Linked DNA regions of Rattus norvegicus. The protein of the gene in region 1 purifies or fractionates together with the protein of each later gene. This does not show direct contact. Links are inferred from orthologs where the notes say so. Each region holds a gene or a part of one and is shown on either strand. Other genes may lie near its edges.

Region 1 (4,474 bases):
AGAGAGCCCCAGCCATCCACCATCCAGGAGGATTCCCACAGCAGGTCAGAAAGATTTCGCAGCTCACGGTGTGGTCTGAAGACCCTCCTTGGGGGACACAGTTGGCAATATAGGACTGTAGTCAGAATACAGACAGCAGATATCTGTCTGTATCCACTTCACAGACATCAATATAGATCTGAAAAGAAACCTCTCATTTTGCTGTGTAGCTGAGACCTAGGAGATTATATAAATATATACATATATATATACATATATACATATACACATGTATGTTTTTAAATGTCATTTCCCAAGTGCCGGACTGTGGATACCACCAAACTTTAATGATTTCTTCACACTGGCCAGAGAGAACCAAGAAATCTCAACAACAGAAATGAATTCTTTCAGAATGGCCATCTGCTATTGTAAAAAATGGAAAGGGGGAAATTACTCCCTGGCTCTTCTGGGAGTCCCACAATGAACAAGGACTTTATCTCCTGGCCAAGGGTACAACAGTATGAGTCATCACTCCTTTTTCTTTCACGCAATGCCAAAGGAGACTTCCTTTTGAAATTCTGACCAGCAGCCAAATAAGAACTCGGCTCAAATGTACATGCAGTGTGCCACGGACAGAGTGCTTGCTCCTTCCCCGGCCCTGAGACCAACCTTTCAGGGAGCTACACACTTCAGAGATTGGCAATCCCCATCTCCCTACCATCTCAAACTTTCTAGCCACTGGAAGAGAAAAATGGTAGGGAAGATTTTTAGGATTCAATTATGTGGGCCCTGATTTTTTCACTAGCTTTGCCTGCATGCCCATATAAGGCTGCCTGTGCCTCTGTGTATTCTATTCTACAGACAGAAATTTCGGCACTAAACTGCAAATATACATAGATATAGATATAGATATAGATATAGATATAGATATAGATATAGATATAGATAGTTATCAGGGCACAGACCATCTTAAGCACGGACCACCAGCCAAAGGGCTAATGCATACTTAACAATGTGCCTTCTATCACAGTATACACACATCCTCAGCCCTCCCTGTGGGCGGCTTCATACAGCAAGCATGAGCAAGCCACGGAAGGGGTGTGTGTGTGTGTGTGTGTGTGTGTGTGTGTGTGTGTGTGTGTGTACGCACATGCTTGTTTTCTCTTTCCCCACAAAATTCGATGTCTGTTACAGTGCATACAGTATTAAGAATCGAGATGATGATACCTATTATTGATGTGCCAAAGAAATGGCGAGCTCATTTATGAGGATCTTGTTAAACTTTAATCAACTGGCTAATTTAAAATCTCCATTATACTGATGAGCAGCAGTGGGGACCTGACCAAAGCTCTCTGGGAGTTTAAAAGGCTCTGAAGGGGACCAGGAGCCAAGTCTGGCTAGTTGCCCAAATCCCAAAAGCCTAAAGGAAACTACTAAGATCAATTTCAATCACGTCCCAGGGAGCAGCTTCTTTGAGGAGGAAAAATGGGGAGGGGGAGAGAAAGGCAGAGAGGATTGTGAACAATTAAGCCGGCATGTGGAGGTTTCAGCCAACACTTCGCTTTCCCTGCGTTTTAAAGCCTGGGAGGTTGTGAAACCCACGGAATATATTTCATCTGCTAATTCACTTGGAGGAAAAAAAAAAAGCCAGCCCAGAAGGGTAGAGAGATGGTCACGGAATCATCATGGTTTTAAAGACAATGGTAAAAGTGTTTGAGAATATATATATTTTTGCCACTCACAGAATCCTAAGACTTAGAAGGGGGAAGGGGTGTTTCTTTTATTTCCGTTGCCCCAAATTCTAGTTCCACTTAAATGCCGGAATTGGAGATTTTTCTTGCCCAAAGTAAGAACCGAAGCAACTAGGAATGGACTCATTGTCATATGACTGACAAGTCACTTGTGTGCAAACAGCACCCCCACACACACACACCCGCCGCGCAGTCAACAAGAAAAGCAGGTAAGAAAAACAAGGCAGACATACGTGAATGCTAAGACATTATCCAGAAGAAAAAGAAACTGTAAATGGCCTTGAGTTCAAAAAGAACCGCTGCGTTCCGCGAGCAATATCTTAAGACTTTTTTAAAAAATTGGATGTACAAATATCAAAACAAAACCAAAATCCTTAAATCAAATCTTTTGGCAGTCAAGGCAAGCTCGTTCATATGACAGGGTCCAGCTGTGGAGTTTGGAACTGGTACAAGCCCCAAAGTTGTGCCAATGGTTCAGGTCTGGATCGGCCAGAGGAATCTGGGGTCCCCCCCTCAGGTGTATGCTGCTCGGAAGCTCGGAATTAGCAAAAATGAAACAAAAACGAAGAAATAAAAACGTACTGGGAAGGAGAGCTCGCCTCCACACAAATGACAACTCTACTCCTCGCTCCCGAAGGCTCGCTCTACAGTGCCTTCACCATTCCAAGCAGCAGAAGGACATCTTAAGATCATTATTTTATTTTATTTTAAATTAGGCAAATGCTAATCATCATTAAAAAAGATGCACTTCCAAGTACACACCATCTTGCCTGCTCCTCCGCGCAACTCCCTCCTCGGCGCACCGGGCAGGTGAAAAAAAAAAAAAATCCGTATTTACCTGTTGCCAATATTCCTCCAGGGACGGCAGAGCCGAGAAGTAGCCCGTTTCGTGCACAATCTGTAGTTCCTGGAAGATGCTACACATTGGGAGCACATCCATGTCGGGTTGGAAAAGACAGTCCCCGCTGTCGGGAAAACAGGGAGGTGAACGATCAGGAGTCGGAGCAGAAACTGTTCCCGGGAGCGCAGGTGAAAGTTTCATGCAAACTGGATGGCGCTGCAATCGGACGCCGGGTCCGGACCCTCCCGCAGCCCGCAGCGCGCCGAGCCCACGCAATATTTGCAAACAGCGGACTGACTGCAAGCGTAACCCCTGCAAAACTTCCCTATTCAAAGCTCCGCTGCCAGCCTCCCCCCTCCTCCCCCGCTTGGCTCCCCCCACTCCTCCTCCCCCCACGTGACCAGCTTGGAGCTCCGCCCCCCACGGTACCCAATCCTGCCGCTCCTGTCCCGGGGGCTGCGCGACGATGATGTCAGCTCGCACCAATCGCCGGTGCGGTCACACAGCGGCCCCGCCTGGCGTGACCGAGCCTCTCCATTAAAGGCCTTCCTATTGGTGCAATTCGAACTCGGCCTGCGCTGATTGGAAAGACGTCTCGCAGGCTATTTTTAGCAGGGTATATAAGGCGAGGGCTACGGCGCGCCGAAGGAGTCGGCGCTGGGAGGTGCACAGCCTAACGTTGTAGAAGTGCGGCCGGAGCGGCCGGAGCTAGGGGAACCTGGCCGGGGCAACCGGGCACCTGTCCCCGCCGCCCGGCTGCTCGGTTGCACCTTCTGATCCGGTCACCCGGACCGGTACCCAGCAAATCAAGGGAGCAGACATATGCCCAATCCCCCTCATTCCTCCCGATAGTGGCCCGTGTTCCCGGATCCTTCCCTGGCCCTCCATTCTCCTTGATCCCCCGATTTCTCTCTTTGTCCCGAGTCCCCTCCGTACTCAGAGATGCAGAGGTGCCCCGGGGTAGGAGCAAACATGCCCTTATGTCCCCGTGTGGCAATGGGACCAAATGACCGAACAGCAGGGGGACTTGGTGCTCTAGAGTCACTGTGTGGTAGTTTCTGTCTGGATCCCTGGGGTGGAGGATGACAGGAGCCTGAAACTAAAATACCCCCACTTCCTACGCAGGCGGAGGGGGAAAAGCCAGAGCATCTCAAAAGCGCCCTACCTGACCTGTGTGTCAGATACACTCAGTTCTCAGGAATGAATTTTACCTACTCTAAGTTGGAAGTGCAGCTTTTAAGATCAAGATCGCATCGCTGACCCGGCGCCACCGCCACCCCGACTTGGAGAGCTGGACACTTACAGCTTAAAAAAAAATCCCTTTACTTGATGCACACAGTTTTAATTCAAAGAAGATGCAGATTCTGCTGCTAATGGGGTAGAAATGTGTTTATCTTTTAGAAGGCAGTCTCCAAGATGTCTCACGAAGGTTAACAGGCTTTCCCATTGTCGCGTAAACAATTTGAATTGTTTTTCATATGAATTGTCTCCCAAAGCACACCATGATATTCATTTAAAAGGAAAAACCAAAAAAAAAAAAAAAAGGAGGAAAGAGCAGCTAAAAGTTTTGAATAAAATTCCAATTATAATAACTTCGAAAATAATATTTAATGAACAGTATCCTTTTAAAAGTTATCAAACGTGTAAAATAAGTTGAAGAGAGTTTTCATATTTCATTTATGAGGTCTTGGAAAGATGCATGTATAGGCTTGACGGATTTGTAGGCAGGCTTAGTTATGAGCGCAAAGATGGGAAAAGTTATCTTACAATGCCTATTGTATGGATTATATGGAGGTGACCATTGGTCTTCATTTACCCTAGTGACAAAGAAGCAGACCTGTCCCTTACTGGGTTATGTGCCTGAATTCTGTTTCCCTGAAGGAAATAGAAATAGCTTTAGGAT
Region 2 (4,309 bases), on another chromosome or scaffold:
GGCAAAATGGAGGCCAGAGATTGAGGTGCCTAGGGCAAATTCTCTAACCTTTTTGATTGCAAAAGTAGGTTACCGTGCTTTCTACTAGGAGGGTAAATTGAGTATTTTGAGAGCTTGGCTTCACGAAGTTCTCCAGAGTGCGTCATTCTCAAAGCCGAGTGATGGGAGTGAACCCTGCCTGGCCCGTGGTTTAGCGTGTCTGGGGCAGCTTAAGAAAATGGCGTTTGCTAGAGCTTCCCAAAAGCCTTCAGCTCAGTGGACTTGGGTTTTCGTGTGCCGTCACCAAGCTGTCGTCCCGCCCGCCGCCACAGGGCTTCCACCCACGGCGAGGGGGAGCCGCCCGCCCATCCCGGCAGGGGTGACATTCGAGAGGTGCTGTGTAGGAGCGGTGAAGGGAAAACTCGAACGGTCCCGGGTGACGCGACACCCTCGCCCTCGCGCGTCTCAGCGCTGACACTTGTGGAACTGCAAGGCTCCGCTAAAGCGTACCACCTAACGAGGAAAAGAAGCCTCTTGAGGAGGGCCAACATGGCGACCAACTCCACTTGGCACAGCCCGGTTCCCTCCTCATGAGGGGCGGCCCTCTAACGACTATTGGCCAAAGCTAGAGGCGGTGCCAGGCTGCTTTCGCTGCCTCATTGGCCTGAGTATCTGAGGGGGAAGCCTGTTCTCCTCTCCCCATTCCAAGTTCCAGCCTTCACCTTCTACTCGGCGTTTAATTGGCTGTTCATTCACGTCAATATGAGCCCTGTTCCGGTTCTTTTCAGTTGTTGTCCAATCAGAACTTTCTTAACTGCCCGCCTGAATTCTGATTGGTTTAGAAAGCTTGATCCTGTCCTATTCCGGCCTATTTCTTACTCTTCTCCTAAACGGACTTTGCCCAGGCATGCCCAAGATTCTGGTTGGTCGTTGTCCTGTCTTTCTTACCTAATCTCCTCCTATCCCCACCGCTCACGGAGCCCGCCTGGTGGTTGACTGGTTTCTCTGCAAGTCCATCTTCTCATCCCGCCCATCACCACTTCCCGAGTCTCTAATTGGTTGTTAAAACTGAGAGGGCGGCCTTTCTGGGCGGAAACCAGGCACGCAACTTGGTCTTACACGCCTCAGAGAGAGAGCGAGTCTTGCCATTGGGTAGACTGCCCGCCTTTCCTCTGCAAGTCCCTCCTTTCACCCTCCTTCATTGGGAGGGGCAGCAGATAAGGGGCGGGGACTAGGCCGGGCTTGTGGCGCGCTGCTCCCTCCTCCTTACCCCCCCCTCCCTGTCCGGTCCGGGTTCGCTTGCCTCGTCAGCGTCCGCGTTTTTCCCGGCCCCCCCCAACCCCCCCGGACAGGACCCCCTTGAGCTCGCCCCTCAGCTGCCACCATGAGCGGTAAGGATGAGTCCACTCCAAGCCTAGGGGTGGGAGGGGAGTGAGGGGGCGCGCGCGAGGGCCGACCGGGCGGTCCCCGCTGTGAGGGGGGGCGGGCGGGAGGCGGCGGCGGCGGCCTTGGTCCCGCCCGGGGCGGAGGGAAGGGAGGGAGAAGGGGCAGTGGCGGGGCCTCGGAGGAGGAGGGGGATGGGCTACCCGCCCCGGGGGAGGGGGCAGCCTGGCCTCGCCCGCCCCCTGCCCGCCCCGGCCACGGGGGACGGGCCTTACCCCCCACTACCCGGCCGGCCGCCTGAGGCTCCTCCTGTCGGGGGCTGGCGCCGCGGGGGCGGCCCGACCAGTGCAGGCCCCGCCTGGGCCAACCGCCTCCCCGGTCCGCCCTCCGGTCCCAGCCTGCTCCAGGCCCTCCCCCGCACCCCCGTAAATTTCCCTTCCCCCATCCGACCCGCCCTTGCCACGCCCCTAACCCCGAAACCGCCCCTTCCTTCTATGGCCCGGCCCCTCAGCCCCAAACCTGGGTTCTAAGCCCTAAACCATTTTAGCCTCTTACCTGCCCTCTTCAGATGTTTCCTCACCTCCACTTACAATTTACCCTTTCTCGGCCCCTTCCTGTTTTTGTTTACACTTAATCTGTCTCCATCTCTTTTAGTCCTAATTTTAGCCCACTTTCCATCCACCTATGTGTTGGGTCTCCTTTTCCTTCCAGGATGCTTTTTTGTTTTTCTTTTTGAGATAGGGTCTATGTGGTACTCGTAGTAACTCGAAGTTACTATGCAGACCTCAAACTTTTAGCTACCTAGTTGCCTGCCTCTTCCTCCTGAGTGCTGGGATTAGAGTGTGCCATCACTAGGCCCCACTTTTTTTTTTTTTTTTTTTTTAATTTCTGAGACACTGCTCTCAAATTCCCTCAAAAGTGCTGTTTGCATTGAGATCAGTTCTTACTCTGTAGGTCTGGCAGACCTAGAACCACCTGGCTCATCCTTCCAAGTCTTGGGATTATAGGTGTGAGTCACCATGCCTGGCTTCCAAAGCAATTTTTGAGTCATTTCTGGGGTTAATTTATGCCTGGGAAAATAGTGACCTGTCTTGGACACCATTAAGCCATGTGCCTGCTCTGCATGCCTATGGCTTTGGCATCTCAGTTTAATGTGTAACTGAGAATTTCTTTGAACTCTTGTCTCCACTTCCAAAATACTGGGATTTTAGGCCTACCACCATAACTAGCTGTATCTGACTAATACCTTTAAAAAAAAACATTTTATTAGTCATTGCTGGTGGTCAAAACGTTAATTTTAAATCTTAATGTTTTTCCCCCTCAACTTATTTGTTTTGTAATTATTTTTAGACCAAGATCACTCAATGGATGAAGTGACAGCTGTGAAGATTGAAAAAGGTGTTGGTGGCAATAACGGGGGTAGCGGGAACGGTGGTGGTGCCGCCTTTTCTCAGACTCGAAGCAGCAGCACAGGCAGTAGCAGCAGCAGTGGTGGCGGAGGAGGGCAGGTGAGTGATCAAAGATGGGGAAGGTATTGAAAGGGTATAAGTATTCTTAGAAACCTCCTTAACCAAAAACTCTGGGAGAAAGTACAGTAGGGAAGTACACACAGAAAGATAGGTGATCTAGAGGGTCCCCAAATAGGAAAGTTGGAACAGTACACAGAAGTTAGCATTTTGTTTCTGGTTTTTGCTCTTTATATGCCTGCATTGTTGCTGTTTGTCTGTTGAATACTGCCCCCTAGGCCAGCTATTGGGTGCCACTAACTCCTTTCCTCTCTTCTGGCCAGGAATCCCAGCCATCTCCTTTGGCTCTGCTGGCAGCAACCTGCAGCAGAATTGAGTCACCCAATGAGAACAGCAACAACTCCCAGGGTCCGAGTCAGTCAGGGGGCACAGGTGAACTTGACCTCACAGCCACACAACTTTCACAGGGTGCCAATGGCTGGCAGATCATCTCTTCCTCCTCTGGGGCTACCCCTACCTCAAAGGAACAGAGTGGCAACAGTACCAATGGCAGCAATGGCAGTGAGTCTTCCAAGAACCGCACAGTCTCTGGTGGGCAGTATGTTGTGGCTGCTACCCCCAACTTACAGAACCAGCAAGTTCTGACAGGTCTACCTGGAGTAATGCCTAATATTCAGTATCAAGTAATCCCACAGTTCCAGACTGTTGATGGGCAACAGCTGCAGTTTGCTGCCACTGGGGCCCAAGTGCAGCAGGATGGTTCTGGTCAAATACAGATCATACCAGGTGCAAATCAACAGATCATCACAAATAGAGGAAGTGGGGGCAACATTATTGCTGCTATGCCAAATCTACTCCAGCAAGCTGTCCCCCTCCAAGGCCTTGCTAATAATGTGCTCTCAGGACAGACTCAGTATGTGACCAATGTACCAGTGGCCCTGAATGGGAACATCACCTTGCTACCTGTCAACAGCGTTTCTGCAGCTACCCTGACTCCCAGCTCTCAGGCAGGCACGATCAGCAGCTCTGGATCCCAGGAGAGTGGCTCACAGCCTGTCACCTCAGGGACTGCCATCAGTTCTGCCAGCTTGGTGTCATCACAAGCCAGTTCCAGCTCCTTTTTCACCAATGCCAACAGCTATTCAACAACTACCACCACCAGCAACATGGGAATTATGAACTTTACCAGCAGCGGATCATCAGGGACTAGTTCTCAAGGCCAGACATCCCAGAGAGTTGGTGGGCTGCAAGGGTCTGATTCTCTAAACATCCAGCAGAACCAGACATCAGGAGGATCACTGCAAGGAAGTCAGCAAAAAGAGGGAGAGCAAAGTCAGCAGACACAGCAACAACAAATTCTTATTCAGCCTCAGCTAGTTCAAGGTGGACAAGCTCTTCAGGCCCTCCAAGCAGCACCATTGTCAGGACAGACCTTCACAACTCAAGCTATTTCCCAGGAAACCCTCCAGAACCTCCAGCTT

Evidence for each region.
Region 2: the proteins of Klf6 (region 1) and Sp1 purify together in Homo sapiens (affinity purification with western blotting, with the first as the bait; 3 studies listed by BioGRID). This does not show direct contact. The link is inferred for Rattus norvegicus from reciprocal best matches to the Homo sapiens genes KLF6 and SP1.

The regions. Positions count from the first base shown.
Region 1 is NC_086035.1:69,455,565-69,460,038, forward strand, and holds the start of Klf6 (Krueppel-like factor 6), read right to left. Parts: upstream 2,915-4,474; 5' UTR 2,773-2,914; coding exon 2,569-2,772; intron 1-2,568.
Region 2 is NC_086025.1:135,418,725-135,423,033, forward strand, and holds the start of Sp1 (transcription factor Sp1), read left to right. Parts: upstream 1-1,325; 5' UTR 1,326-1,363; coding exon 1,364-1,370; intron 1,371-1,514; exon of another isoform or gene 1,515-2,371; intron 2,372-2,712; coding exon 2,713-2,870; intron 2,871-3,151; coding exon 3,152-4,309. UniProt on the Homo sapiens protein: Transcription factor that can activate or repress transcription in response to physiological and pathological stimuli.